Neodiprion lecontei: one gene and its partner. Each later gene encodes a partner of the first gene's protein in a complex. Links are inferred from orthologs where the notes say so. Each region holds a gene or a part of one and is shown on either strand. Other genes may lie near its edges. The genes, in order: cleavage and polyadenylation specificity factor 73 and cleavage and polyadenylation specificity factor subunit 4.

What was found.
Region 2: cleavage and polyadenylation specificity factor 73 (region 1) and cleavage and polyadenylation specificity factor subunit 4 share a complex: the UniProt entries of both Drosophila melanogaster proteins name them as parts of the cleavage and polyadenylation specificity factor (CPSF) complex. The link is inferred for Neodiprion lecontei from reciprocal best matches to the Drosophila melanogaster genes Cpsf73 and Clp.

The regions. Positions count from the first base shown.
Region 1 is NC_060260.1:5,311,839-5,316,798, forward strand, and holds cleavage and polyadenylation specificity factor 73, read left to right. Parts: upstream 1-1,790; 5' UTR 1,791-2,265; coding exon 2,266-4,326; 3' UTR 4,327-4,392; downstream 4,393-4,960. Other genes in the region: DNA polymerase theta, read right to left, coding at 4,889-4,960. UniProt on the Drosophila melanogaster protein: Component of the cleavage and polyadenylation specificity factor (CPSF) complex that plays a key role in pre-mRNA 3'-end formation, recognizing the AAUAAA signal sequence and interacting with poly(A) polymerase and other factors to bring about cleavage and poly(A) addition.
Region 2 is NC_060262.1:20,763,380-20,770,042, forward strand, and holds cleavage and polyadenylation specificity factor subunit 4, read right to left. Parts: upstream 4,621-6,663; 5' UTR 4,407-4,620; coding exon 4,304-4,406; intron 3,998-4,303; coding exon 3,794-3,997; intron 3,213-3,793; coding exon 3,023-3,212; intron 2,046-3,022; coding exon 1,664-2,045; 3' UTR 743-1,663; downstream 1-742. UniProt on the Drosophila melanogaster protein: Component of the cleavage and polyadenylation specificity factor (CPSF) complex that plays a key role in pre-mRNA 3'-end formation, recognizing the AAUAAA signal sequence and interacting with poly(A) polymerase and other factors to bring about cleavage and poly(A) addition.

The DNA of each region.
Region 1 (4,960 bases):
ATAAAAGTTATGTATTGAGGTACGTTTCTTTGTAAATAAGTTTCTTCTAACGTTGATCTATTCATATATAGTGTTTGATCACCATGTTTTCATATCCTGAAAATATCAAGGATGAACATCAAACTATTTACTAAATTGAAACATTCTGCAAATTATCCCGAATGACGGTAAAAATAGTACAAGTATATATATTTTACATTTTATAAACGATTTAATTAAGTATAATACATGTTATTCTTATATCTGTTTCATCTCGGAACAGATATTTTTGCATTTAAATGCACTGTCAGATTCAAATTTGAACATATTTTCCAGCCTCGCCACTATAGCGCTCAGATCACAGGCGGCCATCTTGTGAAAATTGTGGAACAATTGCTGGCCCCTCGATTACCGACAGAAGACAGAAGGGAATGTGCGTCGAGAAGTCGGGCGCGTCAGAACATCCGCTCTGTAGTTCGCGTCGGTTCGCATCGCGATGCAGTTATCGTATATATTCGGCGCGATTGTTTTGTATATAATTATACTGTGCTCAGTGCCATAATTCATTTGTAAATGTTCTATTTATCTAACAACTTGCTCGTGTTAAGCGAAAGTAAATTATTTCTCAATAAATAAAAGTGTGATGTAAAGGTGCGTAGTTGACCAGTAATGAATCAGTACGACGAAATATAATTTTTCAAGTGCTAAACATTTGCCGATCGCAGTTTGTTTTATGCAGCTTCTTGGAAAAAAAAACGACACGTTATTTGCTCTGTAAAGTCTCCGTCGACATCTTTGTACCTTTTCTATTATTATACTTCGATATTTATGTATCGGATTTTATGTTAACTGTAACATTAACTTATTAATTACGTAGTATATCCGTAATCATCTAACTGCGATCAGCGATCAAAGTTCGATTTGAAATGATACGAACCTATGTTTACCCGGACGCATTCATGAATATCACGAGTTACTTATTCCAATGTTTTGTTGCTTTTGTATCCGGCTGATTCGCCTAAGTGAAACTCATATGAAAGATTTCCACTTATTGTTAAGGTGAGAAATTTTACTGTTATTTTTCATGCGTCAGTTTTTAGACGTTTATAAAATTGCTATTGTCAGTTATTCGAATTATCTTTCGGCTACGGGAAGTAAACTGATTTTCGGTCATCATTTTAATAATTATGTACGGAGATCGACGATAATGTAAGTGTTTGTGGTTCAAGCGATCGGAGTATATGGAAGTGAACTTTTAGCATCGCACAGGCGGTAACCGAATGGATGTACTCTATGGGTCAGCCAAAGTAAGTCTAGCACACAATTTATTATTTACAATTTTCTGGCTTACGACTCTAAATGACAGACCATGCATGCACAAATATTGTTGCGATGATTTTGCGTTGCCTTAACACCGCGTTTATATCGTCCATTTAGAAGAAATCAAATTTCGAATGGCTGTGAAAAATTGTGCGCCTGCTGATACGCAACCAAGTACAGACATGTATATATAAGTATATATATCATCCATAGAGATATATCGTCACCCGATACTCTACTTCATTGTCGATAGTAATCAAAATGGAAATAGCTTAATTAATGAAACCATAGACTTATATATAAAACAGACTGAGCATTAGGTCGGAGCGAGTGTCCCCTGAACCTCGATTCCCCCGTTTTTGGTGCTATCCTTGTCTTACATCCGCAGTTGATACTGCCATCTCTTTCTAGCGATCTCGGGGTGGGGATATGTAGGATGGCATACCTGCAACTGCCCCTCACTTGCCTTTCTCTTCCCCTCTAAGCGCTTGGCTCAGAAAACCCCATAAGAAAGAAAGAGACAGCATCAACAACGTTAGGCGTTCCAGGGGTCGAGGGAAATGGCCGGGGTGTTCAGTCTACCTTATAGGTATATAAGTCTATGAATGAAGCTTTGTGTTTATGTTATTGTGCCTTGTGTATGCCTACGCGTGTGTCACTGCGATGAACCAATTTGAACGCATTCATTCAATTGTTTCGTGCAAAACGTGAATTACGCAGATTTCTTGCGTTGCCGGTACCTAGTTTGCAAACTGTTTTAATTTCGCGATACACCGGACTGCTAGTTGGACTTGGACATGTCCATACCTTTAAACTTCAACGATACAAATCGATATAGCACGATATTTCAATGAATAATGATATCGAAGGAGTTATACTAGGTTGAGAGTTGTTTCTACACGTGAAGTCTGTTATTGATTAACAAGTGTATATTCGTACGTGTCTCGGGATAACACAACCTAAAAAATGTCATCTAAACGGAAGCCGGACACCCAAGTGCCGGCAGAAGAAAGCGATTTACTTTCGATTCGGCCGCTTGGTGCCGGACAAGAAGTTGGAAGATCTTGCATTATGCTGGAATTCAAAGGAAAAAAGATAATGCTGGACTGTGGAATACATCCAGGTCTCTCCGGCATGGATGCTCTTCCATTCGTTGACTTGGTAGAAGCCGATGAAATCGACCTGCTTCTGATATCTCATTTTCACCTCGATCACTGTGGAGCCTTACCTTGGTTTTTGCAAAAAACTAGTTTTAAGGGACGTTGTTTCATGACTCACGCGACAAAAGCTATATATCGCTGGTTGTTGTCCGATTACATAAAAGTCAGTAACATTGCCACGGAGCAGATGTTGTATACCGAGTCTGACCTAGAAACTAGTATGGATAAAATAGAGACGATAAATTTCCACGAGGAAAAAGATGTCTTCGGTATTAAATTTTGGGCATATAATGCTGGCCACGTTCTTGGCGCTGCTATGTTCATGATCGAAATTGCTGGTGTTAAAATACTGTACACAGGTGATTTTAGTCGGCAAGAAGACAGGCATTTGATGGCTGCCGAAATACCAAACATTCATCCTGACGTTTTGATAACTGAATCCACCTACGGAACTCACATTCATGAGAAGCGGGAAGATCGAGAAGGAAGATTTACTAATTTGGTACACGAAATTGTGAACAGAGGCGGAAGATGCTTGATTCCTGTATTTGCCCTGGGACGAGCACAAGAGCTACTGCTAATCCTGGATGAATACTGGAGCCAACACCCCGAGTTGCATGAAATTCCCATTTATTATGCTTCGTCTTTGGCCAAAAAATGTATGGCAGTTTATCAAACTTACGTTAACGCGATGAACGATAAAATACGGAGACAGATAGCAATTAACAACCCTTTTGTATTCAAGCACATATCAAACTTGAAAGGGATCGATCATTTCGAAGACATAGGACCTTGTGTCGTTATGGCATCTCCTGGTATGATGCAGAGTGGCTTGTCCAGAGAATTATTTGAGTCTTGGTGCACTGATTCGAAGAATGGAGTAATAATCGCCGGTTACTGCGTAGAGGGGACTCTGGCCAAAACAATCCTCTCCGAACCCGAAGAAATTACAACCATGTCTGGTCAAAAATTGCCTTTGAAAATGTCAGTGGATTATATATCATTCTCAGCCCATACCGACTATCAACAGACGTCAGAGTTTATTAGGATTTTGAAACCACCACATGTTGTATTGGTTCATGGGGAACAAAATGAAATGGGCAGATTAAAAGCTGCTCTACAAAGGGAATACGAGGACGATCCACACACCATAATGGAGATACACAATCCTAGGAATACAGTGGCAGTAGAGCTGTATTTTCGTGGTGAAAAAACAGCAAAAGTTATGGGAACTTTAGCTATGGAAACTCCAAAACCTGGACAGAAGTTATCAGGTGTTCTGGTGAAAAGAAACTTCAATTACCACGTACTGGCGCCTTGCGATTTATCGAAGTATACCGATATGAGCATGAGCCAGGTGGTTCAAAGACAAAGCGTACATTTTTCTACATCGTTACCGGTATTGAAACATTTGCTAACGCAAATTGCTGGAAGCATAGAAAATATCGATGATAAAAAGATGAGAGTATTCAAAAATGTTGATGTTATTGTAGAAGGAAAAGTTGTCACAATGGAATGGATAGCGACTCCTGTAAACGACATGTATGCAGATTCAGTTTTGACTGCAATATTGCAAGCTGAAATGATGGAACAACCGCCGAAAACACTCCCTGCACCAACGAAAATGGACCGAATGCATTTCAAGGAATGTCTGATAGAAATGCTTCAAGAAATGTTTGGTGAAGATTCGGTACCCAAAATTTTCAAAGGCGAAAAACTATATGTTACAGTTGATGGTAAAAAGGCTCACATAGATTTGTTAAATTTAGAAGTAACAAGCACGGAGGATGAAACCTTTCAACAAATAGTCCAGACTGCCGTTTCCAAGTTACATCAGTCATTGGCTCCGCCATGCGATACTTTATAAATTTTTACATTTACAACCTTGTAAATCTAATTCATTAAATATTCCATATCGGATCGATATTTTCAACATGCAATTTGTACTTCTCTTTTCCTAAACCAATAGATTTAAATTATGATACATAGCTAATAATTTTAATTGTGTATATTTTTCTACAAATTCAGCAATACAAGTTGATTCGGTGATAGCAGCAATATGAAGATTAGTAAATGCTGCATTAAATATAATTGTTATTAACAATAGTTGTATAAAAATGAACAATTCAATTTTTATCATGATTTTTTCTGTGTACAAAAATTGATCCATCTATATCGCAATGACACGAATTTTGCATGTAAACTTACCACTATTATTCAATGTTTTAATTCTACACAATTTATGAGATCTATTACACTTAAATAACCTATTTCAGAAGTTTGAGAACTTGACATAAATAATATTTACAATTAGTGGATCTTATAAAAGTTGTGATCATTTATAAAATATTCGTAATTAAATTCTTAACATATAAAAATTCGCAAAAGCGAAAAATATATAAATTAAAATAAATAACGTCTTTCAACAATTAAAAAATACATTCAGATGATTCTATGGGCTTCTGAACAGTGTATTCTGTTAGACTGCCCCACGTCGGACC
Region 2 (6,663 bases), on another chromosome or scaffold:
CATCTAGATTATTCAACATAGCGAAATTAGGATGAGAACAGATCGAAAAAGTGTGAGGTACACCTCTTGAGGTAGATTCTTACCGATTCAAGGCCACCCGTGTTGTCTCCTATGTAGATTAAATAGATTGTAGCAGACGATACTGGTAGCCTTGAAGCAGTCAAAATCTACCAGAGGAGATGTAGGTACACTGAATATGTGCTCGAGTAATCCTAATACTGAACTCTCGGGAGAAAACTATTGTACTGTTTTCTAGCTAACTAGCTACCCTTCAGCTAATCACTGCAACTTGATGTAAAAGAATAATCTGACTTATTATGGTACCTGAACATTTGGGTACTAGAGTTTTTCTGTGTTAGCGATACCCATTGTGGATAATTGTATGAAGAAGATGTCCAGAGTGACTCACCAATGCCCAGTACAAACCTCTAGATCCATATACATGAAATTTAGGAAGTATATTCCTTTCATAACTTAAGCACCGAATAACAAAGGATTTTGGACCTTGATTTCTAGGGATGAAACGTGTTTTCGTAAATTTCTCAATATTTCTTTGGTCCGGTAAGATGGCGACTCTGCTTTGCTTTTAACGACTACTCATTGAAATACCTAAAAACGAAATACAGCATTTTTCAAAATTCACTTACAAAAGGAATAAAAACGGGTAAAATGTGTTTTCATGGTTCACTCGATATTTCTTAAGCCAGATGCAATATCAACTTGATTTTTGCTAAGTTTTGAGTGTAGCAAACCGTAATATGTGTTACTCGCTAACAATTCGTGAGATCTTAGTATGTCATAATTCATTAAGTTTAGGCCAGAGATATGCCATACTTTTTGATACAGTGTCATATCATGAATGGAGAAATATTCCATTCCGTAAAAGAACACGCAGTTGACTCTTACATGTCGTTAACGATTGCACTTGACACAAATGTCATAAATCCAAATTTTTTCCTTCTTTAAACCCTGAATATTTTATGATTCACGTTTCTTACCATCCCATAGAAAAATTATCCTCTATGTTTGTGTCAAAGCATGAGACTCTTGTAACGTTCATGTTTTATAATTCGTTATTTTTCACATTTCAGATATATTTACGGTTGACGGCAGCCTATCGGCGGTGACAATGTTGCGCTGTGTATGGTGTTTCTGTTTAAAAATTTTACAACAGACACCGGGGAGAGTCAAAAAATGCTTTGTTCATTTTCACTATCTCTTACCCCTGCATTGTTGTATAATTGTTGAAAGTAAAAATGAGTTAAAATGAGATTGGACTATGAGACCGTGTTTGTACAATTGTTTTGCCTTCAAATGAAATCTCAATTTTAACAGGCTTGAATATACACAAACCAAAGGAAATTACTGTTTTGTTTACATATGAACCTCCTTGTACATTGTTAGCTGCAAAACTAAAACTCTGAAGTGTAAGACAGTGAGAATCCGAAGACGTTTTCTTCGATTTTTTTTTCAGCCACCTTTAAGTACATCTGATATAAAATTGTGATGAAATGTTCTTTTTTGAGTCCTGAGTTTCAGACTAACCGGTCTATGTACAATATAATTGTTTTATTATTATTTTATTATAATACGTACAAGTACCATTATATTCAAGTGATTTCAAAGAATAAAATGATCATACTTCCAACATATGACGAACTACTCATCGTCTGTAACTTGGATTTTGACCACTGGCAGCTGCCGCTGCTCCTCCAGTGTGACTGAGGAAAGCTAAATGTCCCTTTGGGCACTTATTCGCGTAGTGTCCTTTTGTACCGCACTTGTAACATGTCACCTCTTCCAAAGGTTTCTGAGGTCCTCGTGGAGGGGGACCGCTGTGTGAATTGATGTGGTGATGTGGAGGATGTGCTCCCTGGCCACCACCCTCCATTTCTTGCCTTGCTTGAGCTTCTCTAATATCAGGAGGCATCTTGTTGCAGTAGATTGCTTTGTGACCACCTTCACCACAAAAGTGGCATGTTATCATCACCTTCTTTCCTTCCTTTGGTTGCATATCTTGGACTGCAGGCAGCTCAAAACGAGGACTGGAACAAAACGTAAATAACGTAATGGAATGCAATTGCTGAGGGGGATCCGAAACCCGGGAATTATATTTGAGTGTACAGCCCATACTAAAAATAACTTGGAGGTGCCAAAACACCGAAGTTTTCCAAAAATTTGTAATTTCAATTCACTTAACCACTTAAACGGCGGGCCATTTATTAGATATATATTATTGATTAGATATATTATTGCTAGATAAGTGCTTATCTAGCAAATTTTTCTCGCTAATATGATATGTTGTATTTCATATCAGCAATAATAAACGGCCTGCCGTTTAAGTGGTTAAGCGAATTAAATTCACAAAATTCCACATATAGCACATGTGTGCACACATCAACAAGCTTCACACACTGTCAAAAATGTGTCTCTTCGCGACGAAACTCAAATGTAAATATCGCTAGAGTAAAAAAACCCAATTGCCAAGTCATCAACATAGTATAATAACAAACATTAGCATGATATACATGATATACATGATAAGTTTGGTATCTTCTATGACGTGCTTTGCGCCATAAAAGATCCTATTCGATGTATTTGTGAAACTGCACAACAGGCAATTTTTGATCTCACAATAAAGCAAATAAGTTCTAGCAAAATTGAAATATAACAACGTTACCTTGGAACAGATATTTGTTAGACATTGCACATTGAAAAAAAATTGAGTCGCAATTGTTTTACCTTTGCACCTGGTCCGCAGTTGAAAAATCGGCTGTTTACAAACTATTGCATGACTCCCGAGTTTGGAAATGTATATAAAAACAAACCTCAAATTTCAAGGATTTTCAAGATTTCCAATGTATGTGATTCTTGTGTTTCAGAAGCAATGTAATGGTGTAATAAATCAAAATCACATTGTTTTAAAACAGATGAATTAATTCTCTAATTCTGTAATATGAAATTGGTTGTTAGATAAAAATAAAGGATACACAGATGATAAATCAATATTCTTGTAACTTACTGCATGAATTTACAGTTTGGTCCTTCTGGGCAAAACCCGGCTAGATATGCCATGCATAGAACCCTTCGTACATGCCTATGCCGGCAGAGAGGACCATGTCTGCAGAATCCGCGATCGTACCAAGGACAATCACGAACTTTTGTCTCAGGATCAATGTGAAGAAACGGACATTCTTTGTTGTGGCACGCATCTGAAATCAAGGATTAACATTATCTACATTTTTTTAATCAGTAACCAGAGCAGTGTCCCAGAAGGAATTTCATTGACATCGAAAATTCGACAAGAATGTAACTAAGAAATATGTTTTTCATTAACCGCATATTTGTGAAAATCCATATTCTACTTTTCCAAAGTACTTTTTGAAATAAATTCCATAATTGTTTCCTAAAAAAAAATGCAACTCGTTTTTCTTATTCTAATCTTGAACAAGACAAGGCCCCACATGTATTGTCCAATTGAATAGCTATAATGATAACAGACTACCAAAATTGAAATGAAAAGTATCACTTTTTCTTGTTCTGAATTGAATAAACGAATCTTGACTTTGAATGCCTTTTTATACATAAATATCAAACAGGTAAATAATGAAAGAGTATATACAGTTACATATTCGTCACTTGCAATCATCATTTTTATGGAATCAAGTTCTGTTTGTGGAAAAATGTTTGGAAAGTAGCAAGTGAATTGGAAAACAGTGAAATGACATAAGCAATTTCTTGTCAACGCAAAATGTGAAACGAACAATGAATTCTGTATAAAGTGATCTCTTACTGAATCGGGAGTAGAAGTAGCATTCAGGCATCTTAGTCATGTCATATTCATGAAGAAATTCGCACTGGTCTCCCTTTTTGCAGAGACCTCGCAACCAGTGTTTACATACAATGGTTCTGTCCCCTCTGACGTGTCTAAAAGGGCAAGAGCCTCCTTTGACACAGGTTCCCCGTGGATAAAATTGACATACTGCAGCGATGGATTCTGTGAAAGTTTTACAAACTGATCAAAAATAGTCTTAGAGCAATATACATCCAGAATGAACAGTCAAATTTTGACAGCAAGTTTGTTTACTTGGAGTACCTTAATGAGGCGGGAATGGTAATATGATATGATGTAATATGAAAGAGAAATAAAAACAAATCAAAATTTAATGATTTAGTATAACCAGGTAAAATGAAGCGGTAAAGCACAAAATCAGCAATAAAATATCAATGTTTTTCTACCGTATAAGTCGCGCATGAATCGAGCATAACCTCAATTTTTATGAGCAAAACTCGTAATACATACTGTCCATCCCCGTGAAAGGTAACGGCAGGGCTCCATACTGTTCGTCCAGAGCGATTTCTATGTCAAATTTCATGTGTTCCACGTTAGCTACAATGCACTCCATTTTTATAACAAATTGTTTTCCACTTATCACGTTGAATTCGCATCTCAGTTTACAAGGGTAGCCATATTCAAATTTTCAAGTACTGCGTGGGCATGAATCAAATCAAATATAACTAGACAACACACTGCTTCCACTTATCCAACACCCGATGCGCAACGAACGACACTTGTATGACTAATTAGACAGTAAGGTCTCGTGCCTGTTACGCTAATTTTTTTGAACTAGTTCATTTAAATCGTACTTTAATCGTTGAACATCACCTACTGGCAGTTACAATATCCAAGGTATACGTTTCAAATTATATAATGTAATAATATAAAGGCGTCATCATATTAACAGTATAATGAGTCTGAGAAAACCTTTCCATAACCTGTCAAAAAAACAGCAAAGGAGACGAGATAATTTTGCAAGTTGTTTAACAATGACCTTTGCCGACGAATTTCTTCCTCAAAATGAGAAATATAGAAATGAGGCTGTAAACGTGCACTGAAACTCATAATTAGGGTCGAAATCCACAAGGTAAAGGATCTGGACAGCCAAAACTACGAAGCGCTTGTCCTGGAAGTCAAGTTTCACCAGGTAGCAGACCTAGAGCGCAGAAACCACGGAGCGCTTGTCATGGAAGTCAAGTTCCACCAGGTAGCGGACCTGGAGCGCAGAAACCACGGAGCGCTTGTCCTGGAAGTCGAGTTTCACCAGGTAGTGGACCTGGAGCGCAGGAACCACGGAGCGCTTGTCATGGAAGTCAAGTTCCACCAGGTAGCGGACCTGGAGCGCAGGAACCACGGAGCGCTTGTCATGGAAGTCAAGTTCCACCAGGTAGTGGACCTGGAGCGCAGAAACCACGAAGCGCTTGTCCTGGAAGTTTTACCAGGTAGCGGATCTGGAGCGCAGAAACTACGCAGCGCTTGTCGTGGAAGTCGAGGTTCACCAGGTAGCTGATCTGGAGCGCAGGATCCAGGCGGTAGAGAACCTAGTACTCGAAATCTGTGGAGCGCGATTCTCACACGTCCTCTCTACTGCGCGGTTGTTTCCGGACTGAGGAATTCGGCGAGCTGATTTTCGTCGCCTACGATTACTATAGATCGATGACGTCAGAGAGAAAAAATTTTGGGTGACGTCACTTTTTGAACATCCGAACATCCGAACATTCAAAATTTGATTCCAAACTTTAATACTCTGTATGATGTATGATGATGTATGATGATTTAATTGTGTTATGCGTATTTTATTGTGTATTTTACAGTGTAACATAGGTTGCCTATGGTACGGCTCCAAACTCCGCGTTCGCAAATGATATAACATACAATTAGGTATAATGAGTGTTAGTCAATTGTAGTACTAAACAATGATATTGTATTTTTCTATGATGCAAGATTTTGTAACACTATTAGGTTTTGATTAAGGTTTATTATTATTATACATATTCCAACCAGGGATATTTTGAATAGTTAGATGGTTTGATCGTAATTTCTGGTTACAAGATTCTCACACTTGGAGTTTATTAGTAGTGTTAGTGACATGGAATAGTAATAAAAAATAAAATATACGAGCATTCCACTCAGATGTTCCGACACCCAGGAAAAAATACGCTTTAGAACCCCTGCACTATGGAGGGTAGAGGTAAGAAGTATCTCATATGGGTTTTCAACTGGAAAAGTATCAGGCACAAAGGGATAAATAATGGTTCAACAAGCCAGAATAGCACTCATAAGTAATAAGGGTAACCCTATGATTGGCGCTTAGCAATCAAGGTTCAATTAGATTTCTAAGGAGATAAGAAAGGTTCACGGAGATCGTCCTTACGTCTGCCCTTCATACCCTGCAGAATGAAACGAAATAAAAAGTAATAATAAATATTAATTAGCCAATCACCACGCGCTTTGGAAAAGCTACTCCAATCGTAGGACTTATTTGTCATTCCTATTTCTTATTCCCTCTCATTGTGCTAGGGGCTCAAGTATCTCTCCCATACTCCTCACCCTTTAACCATAAAGGTAAAGAAGAATCTCTCCATACTCCAAATGTAGACAGAACGATCCTCAATTCCCAATTCAACTGCATGACCATGCTGGAGAATAAGAGTTAGATGTAAACAAACCATAAATAAATACGGACACACTCAGGAAGTTCGAGTAGGAATAGTATTCGAATCAGGAAGTAACACAATACATTTTCCTAGCTAACGAAAAAAGTAGAACAAATTTCGCTTAGAAGCTTGCGATCGCACCCAGAGCACTAGAGTAGAGAAATCTTT